2 linked regions of the Callithrix jacchus genome follow. The main gene of each other region encodes a partner of the protein of the gene in region 2 in a complex. Links are inferred from orthologs where the notes say so. Each region holds a gene or a part of one and is shown on either strand. Other genes may lie near its edges.

The links. The genes of interacting proteins can lie anywhere in the genome.
Region 1: the proteins of CTSK (region 2) and CST3 are in contact, whole or in part, in a crystal structure (PDB 8V57), measured with the Mus musculus proteins. The link is inferred for Callithrix jacchus from reciprocal best matches to the Homo sapiens genes CTSK and CST3. Residues at the interface, in NP_031828.2 of Mus musculus: Asn132, Gln133, Gly134, Gln135, Cys136, Gly137, Cys139, Trp140, Glu173, Asn174, Tyr175, Cys177, Gly178, Gly179, Gly180, Tyr181, Met182, Ser248, Ala251, Ser252, Gln257, Phe258, Val274, Asn275, His276, Ala277, Ser297, Trp298, Ser301, Trp302; in NP_034106.2 of Mus musculus: Pro27, Arg28, Met29, Leu30, Gly31, Ala32, Pro33, Gln75, Leu76, Val77, Ala78, Val80, Asn81, Tyr122, Pro125, Trp126, Lys127, Thr133.

What each region holds. Positions count from the first base shown.
Region 1 is NC_133506.1:30,639,594-30,644,806, reverse strand, and holds the start of CST3 (cystatin-C), read left to right. Parts: upstream 1-1,793; 5' UTR 1,794-1,874; coding exon 1,875-2,117; intron 2,118-4,251; coding exon 4,252-4,365; intron 4,366-5,213. UniProt on the Homo sapiens protein: As an inhibitor of cysteine proteinases, this protein is thought to serve an important physiological role as a local regulator of this enzyme activity.
Region 2 is NC_133519.1:10,707,971-10,713,193, reverse strand, and holds the start of CTSK (cathepsin K), read left to right. Parts: upstream 1-1,743; 5' UTR 1,744-1,790; intron 1,791-3,175; 5' UTR 3,176-3,176; coding exon 3,177-3,296; intron 3,297-3,759; coding exon 3,760-3,882; intron 3,883-3,962; coding exon 3,963-4,118; intron 4,119-5,223. UniProt on the Homo sapiens protein: Thiol protease involved in osteoclastic bone resorption and may participate partially in the disorder of bone remodeling. Displays potent endoprotease activity against fibrinogen at acid pH. May play an important role in extracellular matrix degradation.

The DNA of each region.
Region 1 (5,213 bases), on a different chromosome or scaffold from region 2:
TTGATCACTATTCGCCATCTTCCCACACACCCTAATGCTGGGCTGTGCAGTGCCACAGCCACAAGCCCCATGTGGCCACAGGGCACTCGACATGGGGCCAGTGCAATTCACACCCACTCTAAGTGTAAAAAATATACAGGGAATTTCAGAGACTTAGTACCCACACCCGAAAGAAAATAACCTATGTTATTAACGACTCTTCCTTTGTGTTGAAGTAATATTTTGGATATATTAGGTTAAGTAAGAAATATTATAAACATTACCTTCACCTGTTTCTTACTTTTTGAAACATGTCTCCTAGAAAGTTTTAAATTGTTCCTGGGTGGTGTCACCTGTCTGCCAGCAGCCCTGCAATGTCATGTCCCCAGCTGGGTCACCCAGGCTCTGTCTCTAACTCCCAGACCACCTGGTGCAGAAGGAAGCTGGCGACAAGTGTGTTTACGGAATAATGAGGAATTGTGAAAGGAGGACCCAGAGTTTTTTTACTCAAATTAATTCCTCTGTTTGAAAAGTTCCCTAGCACAGGGCACCGCCTGAGGCTCCCGCTGCCTCTGGAATCACACCTCTGCCTTGACCAAATGCTCGAGGATGCCCAGGACCTCTGAGGATTCCGGGAGGCCAACACCTCTATTTTTCCCTTTTCTGAGGAAATGAAACTAGGGGGTTGCATGCTTTTAGGGCTCAGAGGCCCTGACAATCTCTGGAAACCAGGGTCACCCAAGAGTGGGAGGAGTGACAGGCCTTTGGGGAGAGATGGAGCTGAGGGGGTGCAGGTGGGCATGGGTGAGGAAGGGGTTGAGGGAGAGGGGCCAGGAGTGGGGTTAGAAGAGGGGAAAGAGGACAGGACAGACAGGGACAGGGAGAGGACAGGAGAGAGTAGAAAGGGAAGACAGAGGAGGGTTGGGATGGGGAGGGGCGAAGATTAGGGGCAGAGCTTAGGGGAGAATTGGGAGCATGGACAGGAGTGGGGATGAGGGAGAAGAGGGGCTGGGGAAGCGGTGTCGGAATTGAAAGGATAAAGGGATAGAGGAGAAAGAGCCTGGAGAGGGGAGGCCTGGAGTCCCGAGGCAGGAAGGGTCTGGGATTTTGAGGGAGGAATGGAAAAGATAGGCGGGGCAGGGGAGGCAGGGAGGGAGAGAGCAGACAAGGAGGGAGACCGGAGGGGAGGGAATGGTAGGGAAGAATGGGGAGCCTAGTAGAGGCGTGGAGGAGGGGAGGGAGAGGGGAGGCGTGGGTGGGAATGGGAGCGGGGAGGGATGGAGGGGGAGAGGAAGGACCGGGAAGGACTAGTTAGGAAGGGGAAGGACTGGGAAGGATGGGGAGGGGGAGGGGCAGGGGACGGGGATGGGGGCGTGGGGGGGGAGAAGAGGCAGGGGACGAGGGAGGGGCAGGGGAGGCTGGGGGGAGGGGCAGGGGAGGCTGGGGGGAGGGGCAGGAGGGAGGAGGGACACGGGAGGCGCTGGAGGGGAAGGGGAGGCGGGGAGAGGGGAAGAGTAGGCGGGGGGGGGGGGGGGGGGAGGGGACGGGGAAGAGGCGGGGGAATTGTGGAGCAGGCCGGGGAGACGGGGGGAGGGGCGCGGTATGCGTGGGGAGGGGCGGGAGGGGCGGGGGAGGCGGGGTGCGGGGCGGGGAGGCGGGGGAGGCGGGGGAGACGGGGGGAGGGGCAGGGAGACGCCGTAGGGGCGGGGGAGGCGGGGAGGGACCGGGCGTTCCGGAAAAGGAGAAGTGGGCGGGGCGGAGGGGCGGGGAAGGCCGGAAGGTATAAAAGCGCAGCCGCTGGCCGGGCGAGACTCAAAGGCTCCGAGTCGCGGTAGGTTGTGTCTCTGCAGCTCTAGTCTCTTGCCTGCGCCCCGCGTCCCGCGTCCAAGCCGACCATGGCCGGGCCCCTGCGCGACCCGCTGCTCCTGCTGGCCGTCCTGGCCTTGGCCCTGGCGGTGAGCCCCGCGGCTGGCACGAGCCCCGGGAGGCAGCCGCGCCTGTTGGGCGGCCCCATGGACGCCAGCGTGGAGGAGGAGGGCGTCCGGCGCGCGCTGGACTTCGCCGTCAGCGAGTACAACAAGGCCAGCAACGACAGGTACCACAGCCGCGCGCTGCAGGTGGTGCGCGCCCGCAAGCAGGTGCGTGCCGCCCCCGGGCCCGAGCCCCCGCCCGCCCCGCGCCGCCCCGCGCCGCCCCCGTCCCTGAGCTTCTCACCCGGACCCGTTCCGGGCCTTGGCCGTCACCCCGGGGCCCTTGGCGGGCGTGTCCGGGGATGCCCCGACCCTGGCCTGGCCTGGAACCGCACGGGCTCGCCCGGTCCGCGCCCGGCGCCTGAGATCCGCTTCCCGGCACCAGCTGGAGCGGGGGCAGCACAGGACGGACCCCTGGGACGCGGGGCCGAGGGCGCTACTGAATACCCAGGAGAGGGGAAAACAGCCCCTCGTCTGGCTGCCCCCTGACCCTTTCACCAAATAATTTTTAAACACTTTTTCTTTTAACCTTTTATTCTCACTTAATCTCAGACTTACAGAGCAGCTGCAAAAATAGTACAGGGCGTCCCTGTAGATCCCTCCCCCAGATGCCTCCGACGGTAACAGGAATGTTGGCGTTTTGCTGTTTGGTCCCTAGCTCACTCGGCGTGTAAATATGGATATGTGTATACTGTATATGCATTTTTGGCCTGACTCTGTTGAGAGTAAGCGCTTCAATGTGTCTTTCCTAAAATTACAAGGGCGATGTCTCACATAACCACGATTCCATTTTGAAAATCAGCACTGACACATTTATAAGCTCATTCTCACGCTCATTCAGCAGCTTTCCCCGACTGTCCGCTGACGGCCGTCATGCCCGAGGACGCTCCTCCTCCCTGAGCGCATGAGCCCAGCCCTGTCCTGTCCCCTCGGCCTCCTTTAACCTGCAGGAGCCTTTGTTGTGTCTGTGCCATGACTCTGTCATTCCACAGGGTCCAGCAGATGTGGATGGGGGCTGTGCTGACGCTCGGTGCTGCTCAGGATGAGATCCAGGCCATGAGGCTCATCCTTCTCCCTGAGTCCTCCCCACAGGGGCCACCTGGGAGCCTGGCTCCTTGACCTGGAGAGCCCTGCTTCCCTCCCCAAGTCACACCCTTGGGCACAGCCCCTTAGGGCTAGCGGCCTTCATCCTCAGGCTGGCTGACCACCCCTGACAGCCCAGGGCTGCTGAATTCCTGCTGGGGTGGAGCCTGCCTGATGGTCCTGCCTCTACCAGCTGACATAGAGTTAGACCTCAGCCAGATGAGGACAGCAGTCACCCAGCAGAGCGGAGGAGGGGGTCAGGTCGGGAGGGAGCTTCGGCAGGGTTGCCCGGCCCAGCTTGACCTGTGTCCCATAGCAGAGCAGCAAACAGTGACACAACGACCACAGGGCTCTATGGCCTACGAGTCTTGAGAGCTCCTCCACCTTCTCTCGGAAATTCAGAGAAGTCAGACCAGCGACCGTCAACTGGGGCCCTCTCCCTGCACAGGAGGGCCACTCCCTGGTGTAGGGTCCCCGCTGGCTTGTACGTCTCTCACTTGGAGTGAAGCTCGGGGCATTGTAGCTGGTTGGGCCCTGGAGCCTGTGTTACAGAGGAGCAGCCTGACACGGGAGGGATCACAGGACTTGCACGTGGTTCCACAGGGCAAGACCTAGCACCCCGATCCCAGGGTCCCACAGTTCTGACAAGTCATATCTGGGGATGACACCATGCAGGGAAAGGATCCGTTTTCTGAAGTTGCAGCTGTGAGACATGCAGGTGTGTGACTCACTCTAGAAATACTGCCTCCAGAATCACACCTGGAGCGCAAGCAAGGTTTATTGGACTAAAACACCAACATATATAAGCACTTGTTTCCCGCTGAGAAATTAGGGAAAGTACCTCTGAGTTAAGTGGCAGGAGTGAGATGCTGTGTGGGCTGGATGCCAGGAACTGGAGGCTTGCTGAAACTTCGTCATCACATGAGAGCCTTCCTAGAATAGACCCAGTGTCCCTGCCCCCTGGGTTATAGGTAGCAGAATTCAGTTAATCCTTGGCATTGGCACAGAGAAAACAAGTTACCAGGGAGGCCTGGAGCATGGCATCCCTGCCAGCTGGCAGGAGGAGGTGCCTTGTGTGCCTTGCAAGTGAGTGTGAGCAGCTCATGAAGGTAGGCTTGAAGCCCCAGGCAAGCCCAGTGACTCGGTCACAGTGAAGTGTCTGTGCATATAAGAAACTGACAGCGTGCTGCCCCTGCATCCTGCTCTTTCACATGTGTAGATCGTAGCCGGGGTGAACTACTTCTTGGACGTGGAGATGGGCCGAACCACATGTACCAAGGACCAGCCCAACTTGGACAACTGTCCCTTCCACGAGCAGCCACATCTGAAGAGGGTATGTGCCTCATGTGGGTCCAGGGCCAGTCATACACTGCAGAGGGGGGGAGTGTGTGTGTGTGTGTGTGTATGTGTGCATGTACCTGAGTGTGTATACATGTTTCCATGTATAGGCTTGTGTGGGGAGGAGCACATGAGTGTATGCCAGTGGGTGTTTGGATGTGTTGGGGAAGTGTGGAGGTTTATGCATGGCTCTGTGTGGGTATGAGTGTATATGTGTGTGCACATATGTGTGGGGGTGTGTCACATGGTGTTTGAGAAAGTACCTGCAACTGTATGTGTGCATGTGGGTGGATAGATGTGTGAGGAAGTATGTGGGTTCACGCATGGATCCATGTGGCTGAGGGTTGGTGTGAGTTTAGATGCCTATGTGTGTGCAGATGGAGTGGTGTGGCAAGGGGTGATGACTTTGATTTGCTAAGATGGCTTTAGCTTGGAAATGGGGGTACTAGGCGCTCCACCCTGTGTGCTTTGGGGTGTTGCCTGCTGGACTATAGGAAGCAGCTGCAGGGCTGGGTGCTGGGCAGGGAGAAGGGGCTCTGTCTAATCCCAGCCTCAGGCACCTGCCTGCAGCCATGGCCACACTGAGCAGATTGGAGGGAACTAGAGGCCTGTTAGTAGCCAAACCCTCGGCCCTGCCCCACTCACCCAACAGCAGCCTCTCCAAGGACCCGGGATTTCTTTTGAGGTCTCTGCTCAGGGGAGAGCCACACTGTCCTTGTCATCTCCTCGTCACCTTGGGCACTTAGAGTTGCAGTTTTCAGTTCCCTGGGTTCTTCCCTGTGGCCCCTCTTAGTGCTGGCCTGGGTGCTGGAGGTGGAAGGGGCTGGGAGCAGTGAGCCACCA
Region 2 (5,223 bases):
CATAAACAACAAGCACCCACAACTAGAGGAATCTATTGCTTAAGCTCCAGACATACAGACATAGGGCACACTGTGTCTTTAATTCCAGGAATTAGAAATCATAGGGTTCTGATCACACTGTACTTCTCCCCCTCCTTTGTCCTCCTGATCCTGACACATTCTGAGTAACGTCAGCAGGGACGCTGCTGAGGTGGGGGTTTTGGGGTGGGCGTTGCCCAGGTTCTTGGGGGAGAGGGGAAGAGTTGGAATTTGAAACCACTAAGGCACATCTGGATGTCTTCCCCCAGTATGTCCTCTTCTGGATTAAAAGGAGTGAAATTTAAACTGTTCAAGTCTGGACCTGGTTTCCCTCTAGGAGACTTATGTTGGTTCATTAGCAACTTTTTTTTTTTTTTTTCAGTGAGAGATGGAGTCTCACTCTGTTGCCCAGGCTGGAGTGCAGTGGTGCAATCTTGAGTCACTGCAACGTATGCCCCCTGGGTTCAAGCAATTCTCCTGCCTCACCTTCCCAAGTAGCTGAGACTACAGGTGTGTGCCACCATGCCCAGCTAATTTTTGTATCTTTTTTAGTAGAGACAGGGTTTCACTATATGTGGGCCAGGCTGGTCTTGAACTCCTGATCTCAGGTTGTCCGCCTGCTTTGGCCTCCCGAGGTGCTGGGATTACAAGCCTGAGCCACAGCGCCTAGCCCATTAGCAACTCTTAAAATCCAGAGGCATATGCCTGTATTCTTGAGAGTTTATACATGGAATCCAGTTAGAAACTGAGTCTGTTACAGATCCCATTTATTATCCTTTCTATTCCAAGGAGCCTTTTTTCGTCCTTCCCCACATCTGTTTATGGAAGAAAATGAAGTTTGGGGTGTGGTTTGAGGACTGAGCTAGATTCTTATGATCTGTCACATGCCTGGATGTGGAGAAGCATTTGGAGAAGCTCATGTGACTTGTCTTAGATTGGGGATTTTAATAATTGAGACATGTTTATTGGGTGTCCCACCATCTGAGAGTTTTAGCAACAGAATCACATGTGAGTCCATCAGAACTTAACGGCATTGATTCAAGTGCTATCATAAATATCCAGGACTGCTGTTTTGGTTACTCTTAGAGACAATTTCATCTGGACTTTCTGGGCATATCTCCTTCAGCAAAACCACATTAGGCCAGGAAAGCTATTTATTCTTCTGCCCGGAAGTAATGACAGCTTTCAACCAACAAGCTTATATAAATACAAAGAATTCTGGAGCCTATGGATTCCATTATTCTTTTCTAGCCTTTTCTGTTCATTATCTCATCCCAGAGGTGAGGGTCAGACACAAATTTGAAAATAAGTTTCAATGTTGGAGAGGTAAATCAACAGGAAAGGGGTAGGAAAAGTTGTAATCCCCCAATATTGTAATAAAGATACTGAAAAAGAAGGATGGGAGAGACAAGGGCTGTGTCCTTCCTTTTACTCACCAGTAGAGAAGGTAAGCTCCTGCTTGAGTCAATAGATACTGATGTCTTGTTATTTGCCACCAAAGACAGTCTCGTGAGACTTAATACCTAGTAACTCTCTATTCTGGCACATATGCTGCACAGACACAGAAACACTATACATCCACTGCCTTCTTCCCTCCTCCCTACCCTCCCTTCTCTCAGCATTTCTATCCCTGCCTCTTCCTCTTACCCAAATTTTCCAGCCGACCACTGGAGCTGACTTCCGCAATCCTGATGGAATAAATCTAGCACTCCTGATCATCTGCCCACACTTTGCTGCCGAAACGAAGCCAGACAACAGATTTCCATCAGCAGGTAACATTTGCAACTTCTTAGATCTTTTAGCTTTTCATTCCTGTCAATTCTTTAAGAGTATTAGGCATGTAGTGACTTGAGGATCAAAGTAAACTTTTAGCCTCTGCAGATGAAAACAGAGATGCCCTTCTTAGGTTATTTCCTGACTAAATAAAATCTGCCTTGAAATCTGTAGGATTCTTTGCATGATTTGTATATATACATACATGGTTTTTATTGAAAGCAAAAGATATAGGGAATCATTTGCCCATCCTTCAAGAGTGGCCTTTCTGAAGCATTTTCGACTTTAGCCAACAAGGATCAAAAGGGTTAACTCAATAGTGAGGAGGAGGAGGGTGGTACAGGGAGGTGGTAGCTCAGTGCTTCCTGTTCTCTGAGACATCTCAAAGCCCTCAACACTAGCTATTAAATATCCTACTGGACATTTTGGCAGTTTGCAAAAATTACACGTAAATGGACTATAAGCAATTGTGTAAGCCATATGACATGCTGCAGGCTGCAAATTGTCTTAAGATGGAGGATTTGTAATTAAGGAAACCAATGCAAGAAATGAGTGAAGCTAGCTAAACTTATGAAAAGCTGTGAATTTAATCATCATACAACATTGCTTTTCAGTCCGAAAATTATTCTAACAAACTGGAGCTGAGGCTTCTTCTGTGCGGCAGCCACAGTGGTTTTTTGTTGTTGGAGGAGGGGGAAACCTTGCCCACAGCATCTGGTTAAGATTAGGGCAATTTCCTGCCTAAGGAGGGAGGGGAGAGGGAAAGGAGGAAGAAATGCATAAGGAGAGTGAGGAGACAGAAAATGTCTCAGAAAACAGAAAACATTGTCATATTTTCCCTTTTGACAAGATCTGGGAAAGTACTGGAATTTAGGCAAGAAAGAGAACAATGCCTTGAAGAAATGGTCAGGAAGAAAACTTAGTTGGAAATCTCTCCTTTCTGTATTCTGAACCTGAGTACCACTTTGCCCTTTGTTTCCAAGCCTGCTAGGGACTCTGGAGGAAACAGGCACTGAGCCCATTCTGATTTTCCAGTTTCTATCCCATTTCTGGTTGTGTACGTTTGTGTGTGTGTGTGTGTGTGTGTGTGTGAGAGAGAGAGAGAGAGAGAGAGACAGAGAGAGAGACAGAGGCAGAGAGTGTGTGTGTTGGCTAAATCTCCAGAGAGAGAGAGAGAGAAAGAAAGAATGGCTAAATCTCCCTAGCTCAAAGTCCTTGGAACCAGATGTACCAGCACCCTATCTTAACACAGGCCCCTCCTATCATTGTTTTATCATATGAAAGTTACCCTCCATTCTGTGTCTACCTTCCTTTTCCTCATAAAGCCTAGTTTTCCTGTTTCCCTGCCAAATGGAAGAGTTTTCCTAACTATACTCTTCCGCAGAATGTGGGGGCTCAAGGTTCTGCTGCTACCCATGGTGAGCTTTGCTCTGTATCCTGAGGAGATACTGGATACCCACTGGGAGCTATGGAAGAAGACCCACAGGAAGCAATATAACAGCAAGGTGCCTGGGGTCCTGGAGGGGGCGTGGCATGAGGGCTGAGACAAGAGCTCTCTCATCTTAGCTTCCAGACTCCCTTCTTCAATCCAAATGTTTTATTCCAAGCTAATCAGTCCCTCTTCCCTGTCTCATGTTAACATGAGGTATTCATTCCTATGCTTCAAATCATCCTCTGTCAAATTGTATCCTTCCTTTGCTTTATAACTGCCTTACATTTCTCTTTTGGGAAGACGTCTTAAGATTAATGCTATTCATCTATAGGCAATTTTTCTATGAGCCTCTACAGAGCTTTATTTGTATTAATTTGACTTGTTTGCATATTATCTCTTAATAATTCCATGGTTAGTTCCCCAACTAAACTGTAAACTGTTTGTGATTGAGTTTCCTTTATTCTCCTAAAAACCTTCACAGTATTACATACGTAACTGTACACACTCTATACAAGTACTGACTATGCTTTGTTTAGGTGGATGAAATCTCTCGGCGTTTAATTTGGGAAAAAAACCTGAAGTATATTTCCATCCATAACCTTGAGGCTTCTCTTGGTGTCCATACATATGAACTGGCTATGAACCACTTGGGGGACATGGTGAGTACAGCTTCAGCTCCTGTCTCACCTACACCGTCTGCTTTACTTCCCTGCTGATGCCTGGCCTCTCTTTGTCTCAGACCAGTGAAGAGGTGGTTCAGAAGATGACTGGACTCAAAGTACCCACCTCTTATTCCCGCAGCAATGACACCCTTTATATCCCGGACTGGGAAGGTAGAGCCCCAGACTCTGTTGACTATCGAAAGAAAGGATATGTTACTCCTGTCAAAAATCAGGTACTCTCCTTTCTTCTGGGTGTGCATATGTAATCTGGCATGAACTCTTCCTTCTTCTGCTGCTTCGTTCTTGAGGTGAAAGGGCGCCAGAAAGAGAGGGCAAGCAGTTAAGGTACATCTCCCCAAGCTAAGAGAATATGGCTTGTTCTGTTACTTAACCTCATTCGTTTTTGCACTTTTGGGTTGTTTCTGGGTTTTCTTCTTTCTTTGAGACAGAGTCTCACTGTCGTCCAGGGTGGTGTGCAGTGGCGCAAACTTGGCTCACTGCAACCTCCACCTCCCGGGTTCAAGTAATTCTCCTTTCTCAGCCTCCCGAGTAGCTGAGATTACAGGCACATACCACTACACCTGGCTAATTTTTCTATTTTTATAGAGTTGGGGTTTCACCGTGTTGGCCAGGCTGGTCTTGAACTCCTGACGTCAGGTGATCCACCTACCTCGGTCTTCCAAAGTGCAGGGATTACAGGTGTGAGCCACTGTGGTCTGGTTTTCATTACAGACAGTGTTGCAGTATGCACCTTTGTGCATACTTTTTTGTGCACATGTACAAATATTTACGCAAAATAAGTCGTAACATCAGAATTGCTAGGTCACAAGGAACAAAAGAAAACAAAACTTTTTTTTTTTTTTTGAAACAGAGTCTCTCTCTTTAACCCAGGCTGGAGTCCAGTGGCATGATCATGGCTCACTGCAGCCTCAACCTCTCAAGTTCAAATGATTTTCCCACCTCAGCCTTTCTAGTAGCTGGGACTACAGGCACATGCTACCACACCTCATTAATTTTTTAAATATATTTTTTTGTAGAGACAGGGTTTTTCCATGCTGCCCAGGCTGGTGTCAAACTCCTGGGCTCAAGCAATCTGCCCACCTTGGCTTCCCAAAGTGCTAGGATTATAGATGTGAGCCACCATGCCTGGCCCAAAAAAGTTTTTACAATCTTACATTCTTACTAGCAACCTTAACATCAGGATTGTATCAGCAATTGTGTCAGTTTTTTCACAACCTTAACAACAAAGGATTGTATCGGCAAGATAAACAATTGATTTAATGTTAATTTAACAAACACTTTTTGACCCCCAGAACCTACCAGCTGCAATGTTAGGCA